Saccharomyces cerevisiae S288C: one gene and its partners. Changing the gene in region 1 together with any one later gene gives a genetic interaction. Each region holds a gene or a part of one and is shown on either strand. Other genes may lie near its edges.

What was found. A genetic interaction does not mean that the proteins touch.
Region 2: mutations in ACH1 (region 1) and LSC2 together harm fitness more than expected from each alone (negative genetic interaction), as found in Saccharomyces cerevisiae (3 studies listed by BioGRID).
Region 3: mutations in ACH1 (region 1) and PDB1 together harm fitness more than expected from each alone (negative genetic interaction), as found in Saccharomyces cerevisiae (3 studies listed by BioGRID).

Annotation. Positions count from the first base shown.
Region 1 is NC_001134.8:191,950-197,067, forward strand, and holds ACH1 (acetyl-CoA hydrolase), read left to right. Parts: upstream 1-2,172; coding exon 2,173-3,753; downstream 3,754-5,118. Other genes in the region: mitogen-activated serine/threonine-protein kinase FUS3, read left to right, coding at 502-1,563. UniProt on the Saccharomyces cerevisiae protein: Presumably involved in regulating the intracellular acetyl-CoA pool for fatty acid and cholesterol synthesis and fatty acid oxidation. It may be involved in overall regulation of acetylation during melatonin synthesis.
Region 2 is NC_001139.9:977,128-982,019, reverse strand, and holds LSC2 (succinate--CoA ligase (GDP-forming) subunit beta), read left to right. Parts: upstream 1-2,700; coding exon 2,701-3,984; downstream 3,985-4,892. Other genes in the region: SDA1 (Sda1p), read left to right, coding at 1-2,255; MPC3 (mitochondrial pyruvate carrier), read right to left, coding at 4,244-4,684. UniProt on the Saccharomyces cerevisiae protein: Succinyl-CoA synthetase functions in the citric acid cycle (TCA), coupling the hydrolysis of succinyl-CoA to the synthesis of ATP and thus represents the only step of substrate-level phosphorylation in the TCA.
Region 3 is NC_001134.8:664,245-668,890, forward strand, and holds PDB1 (pyruvate dehydrogenase (acetyl-transferring) subunit E1 beta), read right to left. Parts: upstream 2,010-4,646; coding exon 909-2,009; downstream 1-908. Other genes in the region: YBR220C (uncharacterized protein), read right to left, coding at 1-433; YBR221W-A (uncharacterized protein), read left to right, coding at 2,294-2,398; PCS60 (Pcs60p), read right to left, coding at 2,476-4,107; TDP1 (tyrosyl-DNA phosphodiesterase 1), read right to left, coding at 4,419-4,646. UniProt on the Saccharomyces cerevisiae protein: The pyruvate dehydrogenase complex catalyzes the overall conversion of pyruvate to acetyl-CoA and CO(2).

The DNA.
Region 1 (5,118 bases):
GACTACTTGACGTTCAAAAGAACATACATAAGGATAAATTCGTTCGGACTTTTTAACTTACACACATCTTTTGGTGTTCATTCAAGGGGCGGTAGTGCTTGTAGTCCGCACAGGCGGATACTTTTTAGTTTGGGAAGAGTTAACTGGAGAGGGCAGTTTACTTTCACATACTCTTTTATCTTTCTGAAGTAAAATGTGATGTACCTACAAGCAATGCATAAGCTCTTGAGTTTTAGATCTGTTTCACCCTGGAACTCAAAATTCTTTTACTCGAAATTTTTACTTTTTTTTTTTTTGTTTCTGCATTCTCTCAGATTTTAGATGATGCGGTTTTTTACAGGGCATTGAAACAATTGCAGAAAAGCAACATACTAATATATCATAACTTTTTACTCTTGCCTCTCAGAAACTATATATACGTTGTAATCATTTTCTTTCTTCTAATAGCTAGTTCGTTTGAACTACAAGGAAATAAGGCAGAGAAAAAGAAAGGAAAATAATATGCCAAAGAGAATTGTATACAATATATCCAGTGACTTCCAGTTGAAGTCGTTACTGGGAGAGGGTGCATACGGTGTGGTATGTTCTGCAACGCATAAGCCCACGGGAGAAATCGTGGCAATAAAAAAGATCGAACCATTCGATAAGCCTTTGTTCGCATTACGTACGCTGCGTGAAATAAAGATCCTGAAGCACTTCAAGCACGAAAATATCATAACAATCTTCAACATTCAACGCCCTGACTCGTTCGAAAACTTCAATGAGGTCTACATAATTCAAGAGCTAATGCAGACAGATTTACACCGTGTAATCTCCACCCAGATGCTGAGTGACGATCATATACAATATTTTATATACCAAACCTTGAGAGCAGTGAAAGTGCTGCATGGTTCGAACGTCATCCATCGTGATTTAAAGCCCTCCAACCTTCTCATAAACTCCAACTGTGACTTGAAAGTATGTGATTTCGGTTTAGCAAGAATCATTGACGAGTCAGCCGCGGACAATTCAGAGCCCACAGGTCAGCAAAGCGGCATGACCGAGTATGTGGCCACACGTTGGTACAGGGCGCCAGAGGTGATGTTAACCTCTGCCAAATACTCAAGGGCCATGGACGTGTGGTCCTGCGGATGTATTCTCGCTGAACTTTTCTTAAGACGGCCAATCTTCCCTGGCAGAGATTATCGCCATCAACTACTACTGATATTCGGTATCATCGGTACACCTCACTCAGATAATGATTTGCGGTGTATAGAGTCACCCAGGGCTAGAGAGTACATAAAGTCGCTTCCCATGTACCCTGCCGCGCCACTGGAGAAGATGTTCCCTCGAGTCAACCCGAAAGGCATAGATCTTTTACAGCGTATGCTTGTTTTTGACCCTGCGAAGAGGATTACTGCTAAGGAGGCACTGGAGCATCCGTATTTGCAAACATACCACGATCCAAACGACGAACCTGAAGGCGAACCCATCCCACCCAGCTTCTTCGAGTTTGATCACTACAAGGAGGCACTAACGACGAAAGACCTCAAGAAACTCATTTGGAACGAAATATTTAGTTAGCCATCATTATCATTAAAATATCAACCCGAAGAACAATGTATACATATACATATACGTACACATATACATATGTACATATGACATACGTATTAGCCGCTGAGGACGCGGACGTATAAAAGGACAATACTTATATGGAGCTAAGGGGAGCAGTTACGCAACTCCGTGATCGCGCGCCACGGGCCGTCGGCGGCTGTTAATTGAAGAAAAAAAAAATGAAGAACCACAAGGGGTGATCCATATAGGTGACTAGCATCATCCCCTGCGACGCGCGGCCCGCCGGGCCAAAGGCGGGCAATGCGCGCTGCTGATTGGCCTCGAGGACAACGCCCTCAACCACATCCGCAACAGCCAATCCCATCGGAGCGTCAAACTACCAAAGTAGTGATTGTATGGATGACCACTGTATTGTGGACGGTAAGCGCTTGCTGGAGCAAATGTGTAATCAAGTTGCTGTGTATATATAGACGTTAGATGTGTTCTACCCCTTCTTTTGTCTTGTGCCCACCGGGCTTACATTAGCACACAAAGCAGCAAGAGACCGTCTTACTAGACAATAGCGGCAAAACAAACAACACATTTCTTTTTTTCTTTTTCACATATTGCACTAAAATGACAATTTCTAATTTGTTAAAGCAGAGAGTTAGGTATGCTCCCTATCTGAAAAAAGTTAAGGAAGCTCACGAGCTTATTCCATTGTTCAAGAATGGTCAGTACCTTGGGTGGTCCGGTTTTACAGGAGTGGGTACTCCCAAGGCAGTGCCGGAGGCACTGATAGATCACGTGGAGAAGAACAATTTACAAGGGAAGTTGAGATTCAACCTTTTTGTTGGAGCTTCTGCTGGTCCAGAGGAAAACCGTTGGGCTGAACACGACATGATCATTAAGAGAGCCCCTCATCAAGTAGGGAAACCCATTGCAAAGGCAATTAACCAGGGTAGAATTGAGTTCTTTGATAAACATCTGTCCATGTTCCCTCAGGATCTGACATACGGGTTCTACACCAGGGAAAGAAAAGACAACAAAATCCTTGATTATACTATAATCGAGGCAACGGCCATTAAAGAGGACGGGTCTATCGTCCCAGGTCCCTCTGTCGGTGGTTCTCCAGAATTCATTACAGTCAGTGATAAAGTGATTATTGAGGTTAACACGGCTACGCCTTCGTTCGAGGGTATTCACGATATAGACATGCCCGTGAACCCACCTTTCAGGAAACCATACCCATATCTGAAAGTGGACGACAAGTGTGGTGTTGACTCCATCCCGGTTGATCCTGAAAAGGTTGTTGCGATTGTGGAGTCCACCATGAGGGACCAGGTCCCACCAAATACGCCCTCTGACGACATGTCCAGGGCTATTGCAGGTCATTTGGTCGAGTTTTTCAGAAACGAGGTAAAACATGGTAGGCTACCTGAAAACCTGCTGCCTTTACAAAGTGGTATAGGTAACATTGCTAACGCTGTCATTGAAGGGCTTGCTGGCGCCCAATTCAAGCACTTGACTGTATGGACGGAAGTGCTGCAGGACTCGTTCTTGGATCTTTTCGAGAACGGATCTTTGGACTACGCCACTGCTACTTCCGTGAGATTGACTGAAAAGGGTTTCGACAGAGCCTTTGCAAACTGGGAAAATTTCAAACACAGATTGTGTTTGAGATCTCAAGTTGTCTCGAACAATCCGGAAATGATCCGTAGATTGGGTGTCATCGCCATGAATACCCCAGTAGAAGTTGACATTTACGCGCACGCCAATTCTACAAATGTGAATGGTTCCCGTATGTTGAACGGGTTGGGTGGATCTGCTGATTTCTTGAGAAATGCAAAGTTGTCCATCATGCATGCCCCCTCTGCAAGACCAACTAAAGTAGACCCTACCGGTATCTCTACCATTGTTCCTATGGCCTCTCATGTAGATCAAACTGAGCATGACCTGGACATCTTGGTCACTGACCAAGGTTTGGCGGATCTAAGAGGTCTATCGCCTAAGGAAAGAGCCCGTGAAATCATCAACAAGTGTGCTCATCCCGATTATCAAGCTTTGTTGACCGATTACTTGGACAGAGCAGAGCATTACGCTAAAAAGCACAATTGCTTGCATGAACCACACATGCTAAAGAATGCTTTCAAGTTCCACACCAACTTAGCTGAAAAGGGTACAATGAAGGTCGACAGCTGGGAACCAGTTGACTAGTGTTTGTGCGCAAACCGAGAGATGAGTATTTAACAAAAAAAAGAAAGGAAATGATATGATTATGATTTTATGTTTATAAAGCTTTTATCCAATGCGTTGTTTTTTCTTGCATATTTATACTTTTTGCGCTCATGGAGGGAGTTAATCAATACGCATGACGTCTAGTTAATTCACAGGTAGTACTGTATATTTATATGTTTACACAATAATTATGTATTAAGTAGTGATTAGTAAAAAAAACTAAGAGGTTGAAAGTCATCAACCCTTATATTAATTTCAACGAATTTCGCTGATGACGTCAGGGTAGTTCTCTTGCTTAGGTCAATGTAAAAATGCCAGGGTAATACAAAACCAAGCTCTGAACCGCCCAACTTATCTGTAATGATGCATGTATACCTTACAATGATTTTTTTTCTCCTATTATGGAATTAATATTGGAATCCATGTTTGTGAACAGCCTTCTCCGCAATTTAGCTTCAAGCTAATAAGTGGTTATTGTTTGCGCGCGCTTGAAGGCAAGGATCATCGCTTTTTTCTTCTCACCATTGAATTTAAGGGACGCCGATTAGCATAATACACTTATCAACAACAACCGGATGTGTGTTATCTATCAGTGGTGGAAGGATTGGTAAGCAATTTGGTTTGATCCAGAGGACTAAGAAAAAAAAAACGGCTCATCAAAGAAATTAGTTCAATTGAGTGGTTTAATAGACAAAGTTTGGAAAGATAACAGAAGTAGAAAAAGTAAAAATCTACACATGACACTCAACACATGTGGACAGCAAGAGGGCAGATAGATAAGTCGACACTGCAAATTGTTGTGTATGTAATAGCCCTGGGTGCAGGTTGGCCAAAACTGTTCAACAGCTCGCCCATTTGAAGGTTCAACAGGCCGCCAGAAATGTTCAACAGATTGTGCCGCTATGATACGTAACTTATATATAGCAGCGTGTATAATATTAGGACCATAATAAAATGAATGGCATGAAAATAACGACAACAATCTCAACAGCAAACAAATTCACAATACAGTCATGGGCAGCATAAACTTCATATTTGCTTTACATCTTTTAGTTGTTTTATTTTTCATCATCGCCATCCCTAGCTACGCCATGTATCCATTTTTACCATTTATCCTTACATCGCTCGTATTTGCTCGTTCTGATAACTCTAATAATCGTTATTGACAAGTTGGTTCAAGGTCAAAAATTTTGTTATTACAATCACTGAGCAATACGCTGTTTTTCCATAGTATGGAGGCATTTTTTTTTCTGTGAATGTACGTATATTTTACTGTATACTTCATTAATATTTGGGAAATAGACATATTTTAAGATTATTTTTTAGATCCTGTTTACGTAAAAG
Region 2 (4,892 bases), on another chromosome or scaffold:
TACAGAATTTGGTAAAGCGTGACCCAGAGTCCTATCAAGAGGAGTTTCTTCAACAATATGCACATTATGAATCGCTAAGGGACATTTTTATGTTAAATGGGCTTGCTGGAGGTGATTCTGCAGCTGCCACTAATGGGCTCGATGTAGGAAATGGATCTTCTACAATGGCAGGTACTAACGGTACCACCATGAGCACTTCAACTTCGCAACTTATTGAATTGGTTGGCTTCGTATCTCAAGTCTGCTCATGTTTTCCTCGTGAAACTGCAAACTTCCCGTCTGAATTAAAGCAGCTTTTGCTGGAACACCATAAGTCCTTGCCATTTGAATTGAAAGAAAAAATCTTAAGTTGTTTGACGATGTTAAGGAATAAGGACGTCATTACTGCTGAGGAATTAATTCAAAGCTTATTTCCTTTATTGGTTGCTTACTCTTCCCATGGTAATTCACTCGGCGTTAATTCACACGCCAAGGAATTGAGGAAAATCATTTATACAAATTTAATTTCTTTATTAAAAAGTTGTAATACTAATGGTAAAAATCAAAAATTGAACAAATCTACGCAGGCCGTTTGCTTTAATTTGTTAGATCAACCAGATTCCCAGGGAATCTGGGCCACAAAATTAACCAGAGAACTTTGGAGACGTGGTATTTGGGATGATTCAAGAACAGTAGAAATTATGACCCAAGCAGCATTACATCAGGATGTTAAGATTGTCATGTCTGGTGTGATGTTTTTTTTGGATGCTGACAGAGAACGTGAAGAAAATTTTGAAGAAAATTCCGAGGATGAGGATGGGTTTGATTTAGATGCATTAAGGCATAAGATGCAAGTCAATAAAAAAACGGGTAGACGTGGTAAGAAGCTGGAGAATGCCATAAAAACTGTGAAGAAGAAGAAGAAGAACGGACCGGGTGCTCCTCAAGGGTATTTAAACTTCAGTGCTATCCACCTTTTGAGAGATCCACAAGGATTTGCCGAAAAATTGTTTAAGGAACATCTTTCAGGCAAAACGAAAAACAAATTTGACATGGAACAAAAAATATCTTTGATGCAGCTGTTATCAAGGTTGATTGGTACCCATAAGTTAATTGTTTTAGGAATTTATACTTTTTTTTTAAAGTACTTAACTCCGAAACAAAGAGATGTTACAAGAATTATGTCCGCATGTGCCCAAGCATGTCATGATCTTGTCCCTCCTGAAGTTATAAATGTCATGGTGAGAAAGATTGCAGACGAGTTTGTATCAGACGGTGTTGCCAATGAAGTCGCTGCTGCAGGCATTAATACCATTAGAGAAATATGCTCTCGTGCACCTTTGGCTATCGATGAGATTCTACTACAGGATCTGGTAGAATATAAGGGGTCTAAAGCTAAAGGTGTCAATATGGCTGCCAAGTCATTGATAGCGTTGTATAGAGACGTGGCACCAGAAATGCTAAAGAAGAAGGATCGTGGTAAGAATGCCGCCATGGAAGTACAAGAAGCCAAGAAAGGAGGTAAAGATTCAAAAAGACCGCAATTTGGTGCCGACAACAGTGTTCAAGGGATTGCTGGTATCGAACTGTTAGCCAAATGGAAGAAAGAACATGGTGAAGAGAGTGAAAATGAAGACGCTGATGCCAACTGGGAAGTAGATGTCGATAGCGAAGAAGACGATGTCGACGGTGAGTGGGTCACCATGGATAGTGATAAAGAATATGACGTTGATATGGAAGATAGTGACGATGAAAAAGACAATGCTAAGGGCAAGGAATCAGATTCCGATTTGGAACTAAGCGATGATGACGATGAAAAAGAAGTGAAGGATGAGCAAGAAGATGCAGATATAGATCCCGAAGCTGCCTTCCGTGAAATTGCTTCTACACGTATTTTAACTCCGGCAGATTTCGCTAAACTACAAGAATTGCGTAATGAGGAAAGCGTTGCTAAAATAATGGGTATCCACAAACAAGACAAGCGTGAAGAGTTAGTTGATGCAAGTACACTAACAGGCCCTATCAAATACAAACAGTCTCGTGAGGAAAGATTACAAAAGGTGTTGGAAGGTCGTGAAGGTAGAGACAAATTTGGTAGTAGACGCGGTAAGCGTGACAACATGCGTTCTACTACCAACAGAGAAAAAGAAAGAAGGAAGAACTTTGTTATGTCTATTCACAAGAGATCTGTTAGAGGTAAACAAAAAATGTCACTACGAGACAAGCAAAAAGTGTTACGTGCACACATCACCAAACAAAAGAAGAAGGGGTATTAGACGACATCGTAGCCATATTAATATATACATACATATACACAGATACATTCATCTCTCCAACTGTATGAGGACTTCTCTACCTTGAATGGAACACCAAAGCCAGGTAGATACTAAAAAAAACTCTTTTTATGTCTTGGTACAGAGAAAAATGCTCCAACTGGTATCGATTATGTGTTCATCGGGAATTCTCGGCTTTTCCCCGCAGCGGCGGAGTGAGTATTCTAAAAGTTGGTTGGCCTTTCAATTGCCGCGTAGTCAACATCTTTGAGGTTTTATATAAGATCGACGTTTTCCTTATCAGCACTTTGACGTTTTCTCTCGAAAAATAACAGTGACTATAGAGCGATAGTCCAGTTTTTTTGTAACTGACTTTTAGGTAGTTAGGATTAATAAGGATTGAGTCAATACAATCGAAAAAAATACTGAAGCATTGCAACTGAACAAAATGTACTCAAGAAAATCCTTATCCCTAATTTCAAAGTGTGGGCAATTAAGCAGGCTAAACGCGCAAGCTGCTTTACAAGCAAGGAGACACTTGTCAATTCATGAATACAGGTCAGCTCAGTTATTGAGGGAATACGGTATTGGTACTCCAGAAGGATTTCCAGCGTTCACTCCCGAAGAGGCTTTCGAAGCAGCCAAGAAATTAAACACTAACAAACTGGTCATCAAGGCGCAGGCATTGACCGGAGGTAGAGGTAAAGGTCACTTCGACACCGGTTACAAAAGCGGTGTTCACATGATCGAAAGTCCTCAGCAGGCAGAGGATGTTGCAAAAGAAATGCTCAATCATAACCTGATTACTAAACAGACGGGAATAGCGGGGAAGCCAGTATCTGCTGTATATATAGTGAAAAGAGTAGATACAAAGCATGAAGCTTATTTATCTATTCTAATGGACAGACAAACCAAGAAACCGATGATCATTGCGTCCAGTCAAGGTGGTATGAATATTGAAGAGGTGGCTGAGAGAACCCCAGATGCTATAAAGAAATTTTCAATTGAAACTTCAAAGGGATTGAGCCCACAAATGGCCAAGGATGTTGCCAAGAGTCTCGGTTTCAGTCCCGATGCACAAGACGAGGCAGCAAAAGCTGTTTCCAATTTGTATAAAATATTCATGGAAAGGGATGCTACACAAGTGGAGATTAACCCTTTGAGTGAAATTGAACATGATCCAACCCACAAAATCATGTGTACAGACGCCAAATTTGGGTTTGATGATAACGCATCATTCAGACAGGAAAAGATATATTCCTGGAGGGACTTATCACAAGAAGATCCTGATGAAGTTAAGGCAAAGAAGTATGATTTGAATTTTGTTAAGTTGAAGGGTAACATTGGATGTTTAGTCAATGGTGCTGGTTTGGCTATGGCTACTATGGATGTCATCAAATTAAATGGAGGCGATCCTGCGAACTTTTTGGATTGTGGTGGTGGTGCCACCCCTGAGACCATCAAACAAGGTTTCGAATTGATCTTATCCAATAAGAACGTAGATGCAATTTTCGTCAATATTTTCGGCGGTATCGTAAGATGTGACTATGTTGCCCTGGGGCTGGTAGAAGCCGCCAGAGAACTAGAAGTTAGGGTCCCCATTGTGGCACGTTTGCAAGGTACCAAAGTAGAAGAAGGCCGCGACATTATCAATAAGTCAGGCGTGAAGATTTATTCGTTTGATGAATTAGATCCTGCTGCTAAAAAGGTCGTTGAATTGACCCAAAATTAAGCTTCTCGAGAAAAACAAAAGAGTTAATAATAAAGTATATATGCTTTTTTACTATTAATAAAGTTTCTTATTTTCCCTACATGTATACATACATATAAATATACTCTTTTGGAAAAAATTTCTTTTTTTTTTTTTTAATTTTTTTATATTTTTCCATCTTTTGATGTAATATAGAGGTTATATAATGAAAGAATATATAAGAGGTCATAAAAAATCATTAAAAAAATGCGAGTTCAGGAACATATTATCGTTTACGTAATCAGTGCGTTATTGGCGGATTAGTACCGATCACACCTTTGTTCATCGATGTGGATGCAGTTTGCTTTGCTGCGACGGCTGCAGGAGTCTCCCCTTTTATTATGTAGTGAATAACCTGTTTAAAAGAATCACCGTTCCGTATCCTAAAGTTAGCAATTCTTGTTAGATGGTAGCCTGCAGTGCAACCCAGGAAAAAATTGACGGAAGCTAACAGATAGTTCTTGGGCTTGATGACAAACGACCAACGCGTCCAAATCAGTGCCGTCGCTAATAAAGATAAATTTTGTGCTCCTGATACCTTCTCAACAGGCCTCTTAATATCATTTAGCCCTGCGAAGACCAGCCCCCACTTCAAAGTTGGGGCCCAGAAGTGTACTGTTTTAGGGCCTGTTTCACTATTCCAAAATCTTCTAAAGGCAAAATTAAAAGCTGATGCTGACATTAAAAATATAGGTTTGTGTTTCTATGTGTCTTGAATGCTTATGCGTATAGTCTTAAAGACTGATTGTATTCTTTTTTTTTATATGAAGTATTTCCGCCGTAATGAAAGGGAAAAGAAAATTTTCTCCAATACTCCAATTGCAACGCACCATATTATCCGGGAGAATACACGCACGCAGCCGCATATATATATATGATGGCCTTAGTTT
Region 3 (4,646 bases), 470 kb from region 1:
CTAACAGGCCAAACCACCACGTCAAATTTTTTATACTGACACTGTGTAAAGTGCCATTACCGCGATTATGGAACGCATCGTCGACACCATCGAAGATTATGCCTTGTGATATGCACCACCCTAATGCCCATAGCACAAATCCACTAACAAATTGTACTGGAATGATCCATGATCTTCTTCTACCGATGCGCTTGTTGTACAGTGAGTCTACTATTGGTGACCATATGATCTTTAAAGAATATGGATATGTAGCCATAGAGAAAATTCCCAGTGATGTAAACGAGGTCTCCTTTGCTAAAGATTTCAGTAGAAACGGTACGGTACCGAAGGCCAATCCTACAGGTATGCCTTGAGCCAAATATAACATAATTAAAAGATAAAATTGCGGCAAATCATGCTTGGCTAGTGACCCGCTCTTTCGCTTAGGTTCCATGCCTACTTTTGTTTTATCCCCCTATAACTATGGTATATTATACTGCCTCACCAAACGTTTAGGTCTTGCTTCTGCTTCCCACAGTAGCTTACGCATTATAGCCGATTTATTTTTCACTTATTTTCGCATGCCAGAGTATCTTTATTTTCTTTCTTTCATTCAGCCTGTCGTCGAAAAGAAAAAAAAGAAAATAAATATGTGCGTATTCTAACCATGAAACAGGAACTCATTCAATGTGCACAGTACTTATCTCATTCAATTTTGTAAAAACAAAATATATACATTGTATGTATGTGTGTATTTGCAGTTATATATCTACTAATAACCAGTACGCCATACATGTCTTGATTAGCAAAATATTATTTATGTTTTTCTCATTAGTACTATTTCCGCGAAGAGGGTAGAAAGTGTAGGGTACAGGGAAAAAAGTTCCCTATCTCCTTCTTTCTCTCCTTCCTATTGGATTGAAGTTTATTTATTCAATTGACAAGACTTCTTTGACAGCTTTAACGATGGTTGGAGTATCAGGGAAAGCGAAATCTTCTAATTCTTTAGCGTAAGGTGTTGGAACATCGGCACCAGTAACTCTTTGGATTGGAGCATCCAAGTAATCAAAGGCTTCAGACTCCATAACTTGGGCGACAATTTCAGCACCAACACCAAATGATGGGAAAGTGGATTCAACAGTAATCAAGTGGTTTGTCTTCTTGACAGTTTTGATGATAGCTTCAGTATCTAAAGGTCTAATAGAACGCAAGTTGATAACTTCTGCAGAGACACCATATTTCTTTTGTAGAATTTCAGCGGCTTCCAAAGAAAACTGAACGTTTCTTGTGTACGTAACAATGGAAATATCGGTACCTTCTCTTTCGATCTTAGCCTTGTATGGCAAGGTGAACTCAGGGGATAAAGCTTCTTCTGAGATTTCAAAAGATTCACCGTACAACAATTCGTTCTCTAAAAATACAACAGGGTTTGGATCTCTGATGGCGGCCTTTAACAAACCCCTAGCATCTTCAGCAGAATAAGGGACAAGGACCTTTAACCCTGGAATGGAACCGTACCAAGGAGAAAAGTCCTGTGAATGTTGAGCACCAACACCCACTGCAGCACCATTAGGACCTCTGAAGACCATTTGACATTTTTGAGTACCACCAGACATGTAGTGAGTCTTTGCAGCGGAATTGACAACATGATCGATAGCTTGCATAGAGAAATTGAACGACATAAACTCTACAATTGGCTTCAAACCCTTCAAAGCGGCACCAACGGCCAAACCTGTGAACCCGTATTCGGTAATAGGTGTGTCAACCACACGACGTTCACCGAACCTGTCCAATAAACCCTTTGACACCTTATAAGCCCCGTTATATTGTGCAACTTCTTCACCAATAAGGAAGACATCATCATCACGGTCCAATTCTTCCGCCATGGCACTATTCAAGGCCTCTCTGACGGTCATCGTCTTTGTTGATGAGAATCTCAATGCTGCTGCTGCTGCAGAGGGTCTTACAAAAGAAGTTGGGGCACGACGTGCAACATTTCTGGCCAATGATGTTGGCAGTCTGGAAAACATGTTGAACAAAATTATTGCAAAAGTAAAAGAACTTACTAAACTGCGATCGATTATCAATGAACAAACACAGGAACTGTTATGAGGGAGGCGGAATTTAACGTCCGAGTGTGTAAATGATACTAAATTAGTCTAACAAAAGGAAGAAACTTGACAGAGATAATATCAAGAGTCGCTGTTGCAATCGTTAACCTGTATATGTAGATACACCTCTTTTTATTGCAAACGTGCAAACGCATGACTTTTAATGACGGAGAACTTCTTAGTTGAAGACTCGTCTCTTTTGCATGTTCTCCCACTTCGAAGTCTCGGAAAACAGACCCCGGAAACAGCCGCGACGAAAAAGAATCAGCTTAGGCATGATAAATACTGTGGTTTCATTAGATAGATAAAATACATAAGTATTGGCGTATATAAACGGGTGCCAGATAGAAGCTTTCAGAGAGCATAAAATTGTACAGGATACTGCCTACAACTTACTCTTATTTCTGCTGCTCTTAGCAAAAGTTTCTGCGATAACTCTTCTCTGGATTTTACCTGTAGCGGTTTTTGGTAGCTTATCAACAAAGTACACCTTGGTTGGAATTTTGAAAGAGGCTAGGTGCTTCTTTAAGAAGTTCACCAGTTCTTCGTAGGTCATTTTTTCTCCCTTCTTCAAAACAATGGCGGCTTGAACTACTTGGCCGTACATATCGTCGGGAACACCAAATGCAACGGCTTCATCGATCTTTGGATGCGATAGCATAATGCCGTCGAGCTCAATGGGTGAAATCTTTTCACCACCCCTGTTGATAAGCTCTTTGATTCTGCCTGTAAGGACCAAAAACCCCTCAGGGTCGAAATAACCTTGGTCACCGGTTCTGAAATAGTTCTCTCTCTTGGTGAAGTTCTCCTTGTTAGCTTTTGGATTATTAGCATACCCCAAAGTGACGTTTTCGCCTCTGATGGAAACTTCGCCGACTTTGCCCGGGGGCAAGACATTGTCATTGTCATCTAGAATGACGACGGTGACTCCTTGTGGCTGGCCCACAGTACCAGGCTTTCTCTTTCCTGGAGGCAGATTGTTTGAGGTCATTTGATGTGATGCTTCGGTCATCGCATAGGCCTCCAAGACAGGTGCATTGAATTCCTTCTCCAGCTTATGGAACGTTGCTGGAGCCAAAGCAGAAGAACACGATCTGATGAATCTAATGTGTGGGAAAGGGTTTGGTTTGGGCATGTTCAGCATAATCATGCTTATTGTGGGAACGCAACTGAACCAATTACAGTTGTACTTAACAAATTGGTCCCAGAATAACTTTGGATGGAATCCATCGGGAACCACAACAGAACCCTGAGTTCTAAAAGTGGAAAGTAAAACACCAATTAACCCATGGACGTGGAAAAGAGGCATCACGACATAAGATCTGTCCAAGGGCGTTAGCTTGTAAGTGTTAGCAATGTTCAACGTGCTTCTCACAATGTTCAAATGTAACAAAGGCACCGTTTTTGGAGTGGAGGTGGTACCACTGGTATGCAAAATCAGGGCAACGTCACTGGAACGGGCAAACCCAGGGAATTTAACGGGATTTGTGTTGACAAATTTGGCGTTGTTCAAAGACCGGTAAATAACCCTTTTGTAGTTGTCCTCTGGAGAGTATATATCATACTCTACCCTAAACCTGGTCGCATCGAAGGCCAGCTCTACGATAAAACATCCAAACGTGGAGGCAGATTTTAGAATTTCAGAACTCTGTAACTTTGTGGTACCCTTTGGGACGCAAATCGCCTTAGATTTCAGGTCATTCAAATAAAAATTGAACTCCTTTTCCTTATAATTGGGATTCAAGGGCGCGCCAATTTTAGCGTCCATAGTAGCACCGAGGAAAGCGACGATAAATTCCAGCCCATTACGCATGGATATCGCCACTGTATCTTGTCTGAAAACAGCTCCGTACAATGGAGAATTAGGATTTGTGAACATGGTCTGGAAGTGACCCACCATGTGGGATAGATCCCTGTAGGTCACCTGAGTGTCCGTTTCAGGAACAATAACGGCGACATTATCGGATACGCTAAAAGTATCGTTGAACGAAGCAGTAACAGTAGCGGCACTTGTCATTGTAGCAAAAATGTGCGTGAAGCGTCTAACCTCTTGCAGCACAGTGGGAGTAAATTTCAAGAAGGAGCATCTATTAAAAAGAGCTTTTAATCATACCATCTCTATTTATATACAGTTAATCTTGAAAAATAAAAAAAGACCGAATAAAGGACTCGGAAGCTTTAGCTCGGAATAGTTAAAGACGCTTTCGGCCCGAGAAAAAAATATTCTGAGCACCAAAATCCAATCGCCTGAAGTTTATCAAGTAAATTTGCCATTCCTGGCCCCATATAGTGATGCCTAAGTGGACAGCAACATCGCGCTCTTACTTGTTAGTCGTTCTCATGACGAGCAAGGCAAAAGCACTCGTCCTCAGCTAAGTCGTATGGTATGACTGGCAGCGTGAATGGCACGGCCACATGGGTGGGATTACCCGCGCAGCCTCTACGGTCACGTGTAAAAGTACGGCACGTGACCTTCCTGGTATTTGCTAACCTGCGACTATGGTAAAGCACTCCTGCTTCATAATTGCGTGGTTTTCTTGAAACGGTGCCCCATGC